Caenorhabditis elegans: one gene and its partners. The protein of the gene in region 1 purifies or fractionates together with the protein of each later gene. This does not show direct contact. Each region holds a gene or a part of one and is shown in the gene's direction. Other genes may lie near its edges.

Region 1 (3,754 bases):
ACAAGTATCATCTTTAATCGGTGATAAAGCTCAACCTTCTTGTCCAAACCCAACATGTTTCCTACGTAACGTGATTGCTCCATCAGTTAACCTATCAACTGTTCAATTGTATGGCTTCTCAGAATACTGGTATACGACAAGCAATTTCGGATCTGGTGGCGAATATCATTATCAAAAATTTACGGACGAAGTTCGAAAATACTGCCAAAAAGATTGGAATGATATTCAAGATGGATTCAAAAGAAATGAATTTCCCAACGCTGACATTGAACGACTTGGAACAAACTGTTTCAAAGCTGCTTGGGTGACCAGTGTACTTCATGACGGTTTTAATGTGGATAAAACCAAGCATTTGTTTCAGGTATGAATTTTTAAAGACACATCTTACATTCAAGATAAATATTTTCAGAGTGTTCTGAAAATAGCCGGTGAAGAAATGCAATGGGCTCTAGGAGCAATGCTTTATCACTCAAAGGATCTCAAATTCAACCTACTAGAACAACTTGAAGTTGCGCAATCTACCCAACAAATATCAAATTTCTTCTCATTTTTTGTCATTCTTATCATTGTACTGGCAGTTGCTTTATATCGCCAACTTCAATCTGAATCTACGTACAAAAAATATAATTTTCTGCGAACCGATTCTAAACCGGATTTTCTAAATGTGTAGAGCATGATTTAACTTATAACAATTATAATTTATCATTATTTTCATGTCAAATGCAATAAAAAGGTGTGACTGGTCTTTTACTTTATATTCAACCCGATTAAAATGATAACTAAGTTTCGTCACTTCACTTCTAGATGAATCAGCGAAAGGCAAATAAGGAAAAGGAGTATTTTATAAACTCGTCGTCTTTGAATCGTCATTCTCTTATCACTATATTTTCAGTATTTGACAATGAGCGGCGCACCACCACCACCGCCACCTTACAATCAAGTGAGTTCGATCTTTGAAAAAAACTAAACCGAAAATGATTCAAGGCTTATAACGCATATCCACAACCTCCACAAGGTGTCTACACAGTACAACCCGGTGTTCCCATCGGACAAGGCGTTCAACCAGCATATGCAGTATATTATCAACAGCCTCAAACTGTCATGTGAGTTCTATTCGATATTTCGCGAAAAATTAATAATATTGACTTATTTCTTTCAGAGTTGACGACTGCCATCACCATCATCATCATCGTGAACGGGAGCACGGGGGAGGAGGAGGCGAAATGTGTTGCTTAGCTGGTTTAATGGCTTGTCTATGTTTTTTGTGTTTGAGCAAATAATTTTAATTTGATAATCTGGTTCATAAATTTGCAATTGATATATAAAAATCAATTGAAACTTTGACTGGTTTTGCTATTTCTACTTAGAAATAAATTCAGCACAATTCTACTTTCACATTTGTATGTATATTTTCAGAAGATAGTTATCATTTCGGTTTTTTTATAAAACATATTTTAGTGGAAACATGCAACAAGGCATGCTTTAAAAAATTAAGTGTAAATGTGATGCATTCGAGTTTACTTTTTATTGCACAATTTCTGTATTAATACATGTATCCGTTATACAGTGCAACAAATTCGGCTTATTTATAAAATGCATTTATCAAAAAGATTAATTGCAACTGAAATTTTCGTTCGAATTCGCGCCGTTATCTCACCCCGACATTAGGAAATCTGCACAGCTGAAACAAGTGTTACCGTACTACACGCATCGCGAGCAGCTGCGTCGCGTTTATTGAAATCATTTCGCGCGCGTTGCTCTCGAGCTATCTCCGTTTCACACTTATTTTTGTTTCTCAATAATTATTTTTTGAATATTCAAACTTCGTTCTTTTGCAACTTCATAAATTAATTTGATTTTTCAGTATGGACGCCAAGGTGTACGTCGGCGGTCTGCCGAGTGATGCAACATCACAAGAAGTGAGTTCAATCTTGAGCCATTAACAGTAATTATGTAAATATACATTTTTCAGCTCGAAGAGATTTTTGATCGATTTGGAAGGATCCGTAAGGTTTGGGTAGCTCGTCGCCCTCCTGGATTTGCGTTCGTGGAATACGACGACGTTCGTGACGCTGAAGATGCTGTCCGCGCTCTTGACGGATCGTAAGTTGTTTGCTTTGGATATTCGTTTAATGCTTCAAAATTATAGAAGAATCTGTGGTGTCCGTGCTCGTGTTGAACTTTCAACTGGACAAAGACGTGGCGGTGGCGGTCGTGGTGGAGGTTTCGGCGGCCGAGGTGGTGGCGGAAGAGACAGGTTAGTTGAAAATAATTTGATAGTTAAAGGAAAAGAGAGCTGTATTAAAAATTTTATTCGGTAAAACCGTGGACCAAATTTTTAATTTTAGCGGACTCCGCTCGTCCGCGTCCCCATCTGCCATCCCAAACATCACTATCTTCCACTCCTCTCCGTCTTCTGTCTTCACGACACATTCTTCTCTTCCACATCGCTACGCGCCCTTTACTTCTCCCAAAATCATCGCACCAGAATTGTTTTTGACTCTTTTCATCAGTTAATTCTCCGCAGTAGTTCCTGAATCGAGCTTCTGACAAAATCGTCTCATCATGCCTTCGTCGGCTGAATCTTCCCATTCAGTAAGAAAGTTACATCTACCTTTCTTTATGCTGCCATCTGCAGGAAAGATGTATTCGACAAATATGCAATATTCGGAATGTTTTAACATTGTTTATTTCAGATCGCCATACCGAGGAGACCGTGGACGTTCCCGTTCACGCTCTCGTGATCGTGGACGTGATCGCAGCCGCGACAGAAGCCGTGATCGCAGTCGTGACCGAAGCAGAGATCGCAGTCGTGAACGCAGTCGCGAAAGAGAACGTACTCGTTCAAGGTAAGAGTTTTGGATATAGTTATTTAAATTTAAATGAGAAATTTCAGATCTCGATCTCCTCAAGAACGTGATCGTTCTCACTCGAAGAGTCGCTCCCGCTCTCGAAGCCGTTCTCGCAGCCGTTCTGCTTCTCCGCACTAAATTGTGGAAGATCCAAGACCATACAGTATCTTCTCCACAACATCAATTTGCAACCCTAATTCCTCCGAAGAATCTCGAATCAATGATTTAAAAAAGTTTTCACTAAATTTAATTTCTTTGTTGTTTAACCGAATTTTACCATTATTACCTTTCACTGTTCTGTCTTTTTTTATTTTGTTCCTCTTTTTGTAACCTAAAATCGTGAACTTTCATCCATTTTATAAACTGTTGTCGGAAAATAAAAGTAATATTTCGGTAATTTGTGAACGGGGAAATCCAGGGAGACCTTATTTTGTGCGACTTTTTGCTCTGTGAGAGCGTTTTCGAATGTGTAAACAACTGCTTGGAGAACTAGAGAGCAGCACGTGTTTGTGGTGCTCTTTAAAAATGTTGGTCACCGGCCAGCAGTAGAAGATTGATTTTCCCACACATTCTTTATTTCTCTTTATGTGTCGTCCCACCGGCAGCAACGCACGTTTCTTTTTTGTTTCGTATGGCAAAGGATAAACAGGTCTTTATATAGTACGGTTCTACTTGATTTCTCTTCGTCTCTTGCCATTTTTGTTTTCGTATCGTCTCACAGTTAGCACGTGCTATTCCCAGAAAGAAAAAGTATGTGTACTGATTCAAAAAAAGCTCAGGATTCGCCACCAAAAATGCGAGACGACGTGGCAAAGATTGCCGCATCGGCGAGCATTTTAATTCTTTCATGGATTGTACTTTATCACTCCTGTCGAAGGGCATCTACAATTTACTTTTTCGAG
Region 2 (3,754 bases), 9.6 Mb from region 1:
CAATGTCTATTCAATTAGACCAAGATTTCATTACCGTATCTAGTTATATTTCAAATTATAGACTTTATCTCGTAAAGTTTCTTCAAGTAAGAAAGGATGTGTTGCTTTTTTTTGCATTATATTGTTCTCAGTAATTATTTTTTCATTAATACAACTGAAGCAGTAAAATTTTTTTGGCTGATGAAATTTTCAATACTCTCCATAATATCGAATTGTTTGAATTGCAAATGCATTAGTGAAGGATCGCTTGGTCCATGCGATAAACGACCGGAGAAGTAGATGACCAGGAACGTCATGAGATTCCGAAAATTTGAACTTGAAATCCTTGCCACGTGCATCTACGTGTCCAAAGCGGCGAAGCTGAAAACAGCGTTCAAAAATAACATGGGAGATGACGCAAACTACCACAAATGAGCCCAACTGTCTTTCAGAAAGTTCCGAATAGTAACGGTCAAACCAAGCTGGAAAATTATAAAAATTTTTAAACCTCTGTTCATAATAGATGACCGAGCTTTCTTTTTTTTCTCGCATCTCAAAAAAAAGAACAAATAATTTATTCGTGTTACAAGCTTCAAAGCTCGTATTTTTCGCATTGTTTCCAGGAGCCATTTTTCAACTTAACAAACTTCCACATACATTCCGAATCGAATTTAGCAGAAAAGTATTTTTCAAATTCTGTCATATTTCTTTTCCGGACAGCAGACTGTATTTTCATAAGCATTGTGTCAATTGCTCGGTCTACCGTGATATTTCTTGCAACATAAGCCGTCTATAAAATAACTGGAAAATTTAATAATCGTTTTTTCAAACTCACAGTTTTTTCGATACTTTGGAAAAGAACAATGAAAAACAAGATGGTAAAACCGAATAGACAACCAAACTTCATTGATGTTGAATGAAAAGTTTTAGTCAGAAAACTGTCGGTTTTAGGTGCAGCTTTGATTGAGGCGAACAAAACAAAATTCAAAGGTTTTATTGATATGATAATTTTATTTGTCCGCGATCAGCTAAAGATGTAAATAGTTTTTTCTTGACAATTGACGTAGAAGAAGAGAAAAATATGAAGAAACTGAAAGATGCGAACAAATACTTTAATAATTCTGGGCAAAACTTGGAAATTTTATGAAACTTTAAAAAAATAATATTTGTGCATTGATACCTTTCGCTGAAACACTAGTGTTTGAAAAAATCAGATAAAAGTTTGGCAAATTATATTCTCATGCTCGTCTGTTTTTTTCAAAATGTAATTTTGAAAGTAAATCTTGGGGAACAAAACATTATCCTTTTCAGCTGGTACAGTTTTTTGTAGGAATTACAGTTTTCTTCTCCTGAAAACTAAAACGATATTAAAAATTTTATAAACACTTTTTTCGAGTACAAATAGGTTTTAGTTACATGTTTGATAAACTTTCATAAATTAACTCGCGAAATCATAATGTTGTTTGTTTGAAATCTAGGCCAATACCAAAACCAAAATTGGCATGAGACAAGTTTTCAATTAGAACACTTTTTTCTATACTATCATCAAATGTTCCTCAAGTTTTAATGCCCGTTAGGTTGCACTTTTATTTTGTCTTTGCCTCCTCACAAGTTTTTCTTGTTAATGAGTAGTTGTGAACATACTCATCAAGTATCGGTTGCCATGGAAAAATAACTCACACATTTCAGAGTCTTTCTCGAGATACAACTTTCATTTTATTTATTTTCTACCAAATGAACAAGCTTATCACTGTCATCCGAGATTTCTCATATAGTGTTTATAATTGGTGCTACGAAACTGTAATAGGGTAATTTTCATTTTCATGATCTTCTGAAACGTTACAAAAAAAAGTTTCTTTAATTTTCTTACTGTAGCAGGTTCCAAAAAACTTTAAAAAATTTAAGTAATAAACTGAATAGTTTTTCTATTAACAGGTATGTCCATTATACTTGATAGTATGAATGAAAGTTTGTAATATTTTTCTCGTCAGTATACTCCATCAAGTGTAGTTGTCGCTACTGCGAACGAGTTTTTTAAAATTTTAAAAGAACTGCCTTATCGATAAAGTCATAAAATAATTATATTTTTGAGGAGTTTAATAAACAAAACGTTTTTGTTCCCTTTGAAAGTCATTTAATATTTCAGGGAAAATACTCGGAAGTACAAGATGACATGGAAAGTTCCAAAGGAATCTTTGAAAATTATTGTTAACAAGAATGCAGATGCGGTAATAAAATTCAAATTACCAGTAAATGCGTCTTTAAATTTAGAGAATGCAACGTGAACTTGAAAATAGAACAGCAAAAGATGAAGCAAATGCTTTAACATCACGACGAAGGGTATTTGGCTCATATGCTCTAATTGGCACCCAAAGAGCAGAGTTTATTCAGTTTCGACAAATTAAACATATCGATATCACTAATGCTTCTTTAGACTTTTTGTATAACTTAAAGCAACTGAAACATGACAATCTGGCAAACTTCTATGGTATTCAATTGAATGATGATCTCAACACAATGACAATTTTACACGCATTAGTGGAACGAGGAACACTGGAGGTACAAGACTTACATTTCTCAGTAATTAGAAAATCAGGCTAATTCAAGGAATTTTGTTTGGATCGAGATTTCGGTATGGATGAAACGTTCAAATCCGCATTTATGAGAGATATTTTGAAGGTAACATTTTGCGTTATTCATTAGACTCCATGAACAACTGAAGATTAAAAAAAATAATTCTATAATAAAAATCACAAATCGATTGTTAATTCAAGGGTCTTCAATATCTTCACCTATCTCCTGTTGCGTATCACGGTCATCTTCACGCAGCCACTTGCCTAATAGATATAAATTGGGTACTGAAAATTGCATTATATGGGGTCACAAACTTTGTGTGTGATAACTTCGACGCAGAAAATATAACGATGCCAGATAGAAGTGACTATACTAGTGAGTAATTCAAAACAATGTGCAAAAAAGCCAGACAACAATTTCTAAAATAGCTGATTGCGGGAAAAATTGGAAGCTGACAATAGCCGGAAATCTACAATTATCAATTTCTACACCTATTTGACTTGAATTTTCTTGAAAAATTTGTATCTTTCAATCAGAAACTGTTTTACCTGTTCACGCCGTTACTTCAACCACAACATTTACACTGAAAAACAAAGTATATTTTTATTTTTTGAAAAATAATGTTTAAAAGTTCCGAAAAACAACAATTTTGGCAATTTCCGAATTTGCCGATGACCGAAAATTTTTGGTTGCCACCTACCCCAAGAATATATGCCTTCTTTTCTTATTTTCAGTATCTTACGCGCAGTATGTGTGTTTTCCGCCGGAGCATATTCGAGAATATGATGCTACTGGAAAACTGCCAACCAGATTTGTAAGAGGCAGTAAACAAGGCGATATTTATTGCGTTGGAATGATTTTTTATATGATGATCGAACGTGAAGATCCATATCGACTGATTCACTCAGTTGAGCGACCGGGTTCTGGTAAGTTAGTTGAGAAGTTGCAATGGGTCAAAATGAGTCGACTCGCAAACAAATGAAGACCAAATCAAATGAAACTCAAATGAGGACCGTTAAATATGACAAACTAGGATGTTCTTTGACTTGCCGCAATATAACCTCCTTGCTAATATGCCTAACTCAAAGAGCTTTGTCACCTTTATGCTTGGTCTAGAAAAGCATCAGGGAAATTTATCTTAAGGTCTCATGATGGAAATTCTTGATCACAATCTCATGCCATTCATTTCAAACAATGAAAC
Region 3 (3,754 bases), on another chromosome or scaffold:
CCGAATTTCGCGAAAAAACCGCTCAAAAATTCGAAAAAATGGGTCTTTTTTCGAAATTTTAACTTAAAAATCGATTTTCTCACGTTTTTTCTCATTTTTTATCGTTTAAACTACATAAAAATGCATTTTAGGCCAATTTACGACGTAAAAAGCCGTTTTCTATGTGAAAAAGTGTTAGAAAATCCAATTTTAAAGTTAAAATTTGAAAAAAAAACGAAAAAAAGAAACCTAAGTCTGAAGAAAGGCCCATTTTTTTTTGCAATTTCCCAAAATTTCTAATTTTTTTCCAGATCCTCCACCCCCGCAACCCATCTGGAAATGGAAGACACCGCTTCCTACTCGGTCTCCAACAATGACGTCACTTTTGCGCGAAAAAAGAACTACGGAGCCGAATCTTCAAGCGATACTCGTCCACTTTTACAGCTCCGTGACGCCGATAACGAGGAGAATAAATATAAACGGCGCCCGACGATGGATTGGATGCGCGGGCTCTGGAGAGCAAAACATGGCGGCTCCGGGGTCCCACAGGAACGGGCTTCCGCGAAAAAAATCGCGCTTTTCGTGATTTTCCTGGCCGTTTTGGCTTTGATTACGGTTGGATTTTAAAAAGCGACTTTTATAGACTCAAAAACGCCAAAAAAATATTTTTTCCCTGAAAAAATGGCCTAATTTTAGCTAAAATACATCAATTTCGCCGACTTTTCCGTGTTGCATCTGTCGGAAATTCGCTTTTATTTGATTTTATCACAGTTTATTTTCAATTTTTATCGTTTTTCTCACGTTTTTTTCGTTATTTAGTGTACATTTGAAGCATATAAACCGAAAACGACGTGAGGGCGGAGCCTAAACCGCAATCCTGCGGCGCGATGTTTCGCAACTCCACCGCGCGACTATTTTTTACAAGTTTTTAAGTTTTTTTTCGCATTTTTCGAATAAAATTTCCAGTATATCGTGATTTTTTCGAGATATTTCGATAAAATCTCATGAAAAAAAAATTTCGACTGACAAAAAAACAGCGCGGCGGAGTTGCGAAATCGCGCGCCGCAGAATTGCGGTCCAGACCCCGCCCACAATTTTTTGCGCTCAACGTCTGCCGTGTGGCTTAAAATGTACATTAAATAGCGAAAAAATGTGTAATAAACAATAAAAATATAAAATAAACGATGAAATTTCATGAAAATAAAATATAAGTCAATTTCCGACCGCTGCGACACGGAAAAGTCGGCGAAATTGGTGTATTTTAGCTAAAATTGAGCGATTTTGAGTATTTTTAAGCGAATTTTGAGCTTTTTGAGCAAATTTTGAGTGTTTTTAATCAAATTTCGCAAATTTTGAGTCATTTTGATCAAATTTTAAGGCTTTTTGAGCAAATTTATTGTCTTTTTGAGCAATTTTTTGAGTATTTTAGAGCAATTTTTGAGTATTTTTGAAGGAAATGTTAAGGCTTTTTGATCAAAGTTTGACTTTTTTTGAGTGAATTTTGAGTATTTTTGAGCGAATTTTATGGCTTTTTAAGCAAATTTTGAGTGTTTATGAGTCTTATCAAGCAAATTTAGATTCTAACTTCATTTAATTCCAAATAAATTGTATTTTTCCAGATTATAATGGTGATGAAGCGTGCCGGATACAGCGGCGAGCACTCATCGGACCCCCTTTTCGATCCAATGGCCAATCCGAATATTCGCGTCGCCGTCGAAGATTCTCGTCTTCCACACGTCTAAAAAATTTTTTTTTTTGAAAAAAATGTGCATATCCTTCCCTTTCTGTGTAATATTCAATGTCTACTCATTCCCCAACGAAAAAAAAAGTTTTTCGAAAAATTTTTTATTTTTACTTTCGCCTGCTAATGATGCTAACAAACGGGATTTTTTCTGATTTTTTTCGATTTTTTTCGCTAAAAACTAGCTAAAACTAGCTAAAACTTGGTTGTAATTAATTATTAATTATTTATTCTTTTTTTTTGCCCTATTTCTTGTATATTCGGTGGTTTAAATGGTATTTATTGATTTTTTTTCCTCTAAAAATTGAAATTCGGTTAATTTTCTACCGAGATTTATATTTATTTTCTCTCAATTTTTCGGAAAAAATTTCAGGAAGTAATTGCAATTTCAGAGCACCATGCATCGCGTCGGTGGACAAATTGTCCGCGGAGTGTCGAAGGCTCAACAGAAGAGATCGCTTTCGGTGGCGGCTCCGGCTCCACCGAAAAAGGTGAAAAAACTGGAATTTTCGGCGGAAAAATTGAAGAAAAATGGATTTGGCAAAAAAATAACGAATTAACTAGCGAGAAATTCAAAAAAAAAGCTTAATTTCATCTACAATCTCCAATTTTCCATCATTTTCCATTTAAAATTAGTGCCAGAATATAGAAAATCGCTCGATTTATCGGAAAATCACTTTGATTTTAGCTGAAATGTTGGAGAAAGCGCTCAAAAAGACAGTTTTGAGCTTTTTCTCAACTGTTTCATCCGAAATTAATGTGATTTTCTCGATGAATCGAGTGATTTTCTATATTTTGGCACTAATTATTAATTGAAAATTTTACAAAATACATGGTGCAATGATGTTTTACTAAAATCAAAAATGTTTTCGTTTTTCAATTAAAAAAATCGAAAAATTCCGTTTTTCGGTTCGAAAAATCAAAAATTTTTAGATTTTTCCTTTAAAAAACGGAAAATTTAGTTTTTTTAATTTCCGAAAAAAGAACAAATCGAAAAAGTACGTTATTTAATTTAAACAAAAATCTAAATTTCTTCGTTTTTCAATTGAAAAAAAAATCGTTATTTCCTGTAAAAAAATCAAAAATTTAGTTTTTCGGTTCAAAAATCGGAATTTTTTCGATTTTTCCTGTAAACATCGAATTTTTTTTTAAATGCTCGATTTTCTCTGACAATTTTTTTTACAAAAAAATAAAAATTATTCGATTTTTCCTGTAAAAAATCTAATTTTTTTTTTCAATTAAAATGATCGAAACATTTCGTTTTTAAATTTATCAACAAAAAAAACATAAAATGAAAAAAGCACGTTTTTCAATTAAAAAAAAATCGAAAAATTACGTTTTTCAATTTTAAAAAATCTAATTTTCCTGTAAAAAATCTAAAAATTTAGCTTTCAGTTCAAAAAATCAGAATTTTTTCGATGATTTTTCCTGTAAAAAATCGAAAATTCGTTTTTTTTTCAATTTTTAAAAATATATCGTAAATATATATTTTTCGATTTTCCGGAACCTAAAAACCCAACATTTTTTTCAATTAAAAAAAAAAAAAAACGAAACAAATTTCTTCCATTTTCCGAAAACAAAAAACTTAAAAAAAAAATTTTTTTTCGATTTTCAAATAAAAAAAATCGAAATTTTTCGATTTTCCCTGTAAAAATCAACAAAAAAACCACTAAAAATCACCTCATTTTCTTCCAGGTCGAAGTCTTCATCGACGACAAAAAAGTGCTCGTCGACCCGGGAATGACGATTCTCCAAGCGTGCGCGCTCGTCGGCGTCGACATCCCACGCTTCTGCTATCACGACCGTCTCTCAATTGCCGGAAACTGCCGAATGTGTCTGGTAGAGGTGGAGAAGTCGGTGAAGCCTGTCGCATCATGTGCGATGCCTGTCATGAACGGAATGAAAGTCAAAACCAACTCGGATTTCGTGAAAAAAGCTCGCGAAGGGGTGATGGAGTTCATGCTCAACAACCATCCACTCGACTGCCCGATTTGTGATCAAGGTGGCGAATGTGATCTACAGGATCAGGCGATG

What was found.
Region 2: the proteins of rsp-6 (region 1) and gcy-27 fractionate together in Caenorhabditis elegans (co-fractionation; one large-scale study listed by BioGRID). This does not show direct contact.
Region 3: the proteins of rsp-6 (region 1) and nuo-5 fractionate together in Caenorhabditis elegans (co-fractionation; one large-scale study listed by BioGRID). This does not show direct contact.

What each region holds. Positions count from the first base shown.
Region 1 is NC_003282.8:7,789,340-7,793,093, reverse strand, and holds rsp-6 (putative splicing factor, arginine/serine-rich 6), read left to right. Parts: upstream 1-1,864; 5' UTR 1,865-1,865; coding exon 1,866-1,919; intron 1,920-1,972; coding exon 1,973-2,103; intron 2,104-2,149; coding exon 2,150-2,257; exon of another isoform or gene 2,258-2,696; coding exon 2,697-2,849; intron 2,850-2,896; coding exon 2,897-2,990; 3' UTR 2,991-3,247; downstream 3,248-3,754. Other genes in the region: Nucleoside-triphosphatase ntp-1, read left to right, coding at 1-361, 410-670; C33H5.13 (CYSTM domain-containing protein), read left to right, coding at 902-940, 985-1,103, 1,160-1,280; imp-3 (IntraMembrane Protease (IMPAS) family), read left to right, coding at 3,605-3,754. UniProt on the Caenorhabditis elegans protein: Plays a functionally redundant role in shifting germ cell sexual differentiation in hermaprodites. Required for the development of somatic gonad structures and for progression from larval stage to adulthood.
Region 2 is NC_003282.8:17,434,591-17,438,344, reverse strand, and holds the start of gcy-27 (Receptor-type guanylate cyclase gcy-27), read left to right. Parts: upstream 1-1,713; coding exon 1,714-1,787; intron 1,788-2,125; coding exon 2,126-2,207; intron 2,208-2,250; coding exon 2,251-2,538; intron 2,539-2,586; coding exon 2,587-2,658; intron 2,659-2,753; coding exon 2,754-2,928; intron 2,929-3,287; coding exon 3,288-3,479; intron 3,480-3,696; coding exon 3,697-3,754. Other genes in the region: C06A12.8 (RxLR effector protein), read right to left, coding at 190-360, 406-461, 637-769, 815-886. UniProt on the Caenorhabditis elegans protein: Guanylate cyclase involved in the production of the second messenger cGMP. May be involved in sensitivity to quinine by regulating egl-4 activity through the production of cGMP.
Region 3 is NC_003283.11:2,696,860-2,700,613, forward strand, and holds the start of nuo-5 (NADH-ubiquinone oxidoreductase 75 kDa subunit, mitochondrial), read left to right. Parts: upstream 1-2,112; 5' UTR 2,113-2,118; coding exon 2,119-2,211; intron 2,212-3,415; coding exon 3,416-3,754. Other genes in the region: Y45G12B.2 (Zinc finger protein-like 1 homolog), read left to right, coding at 291-594, 1,599-1,721.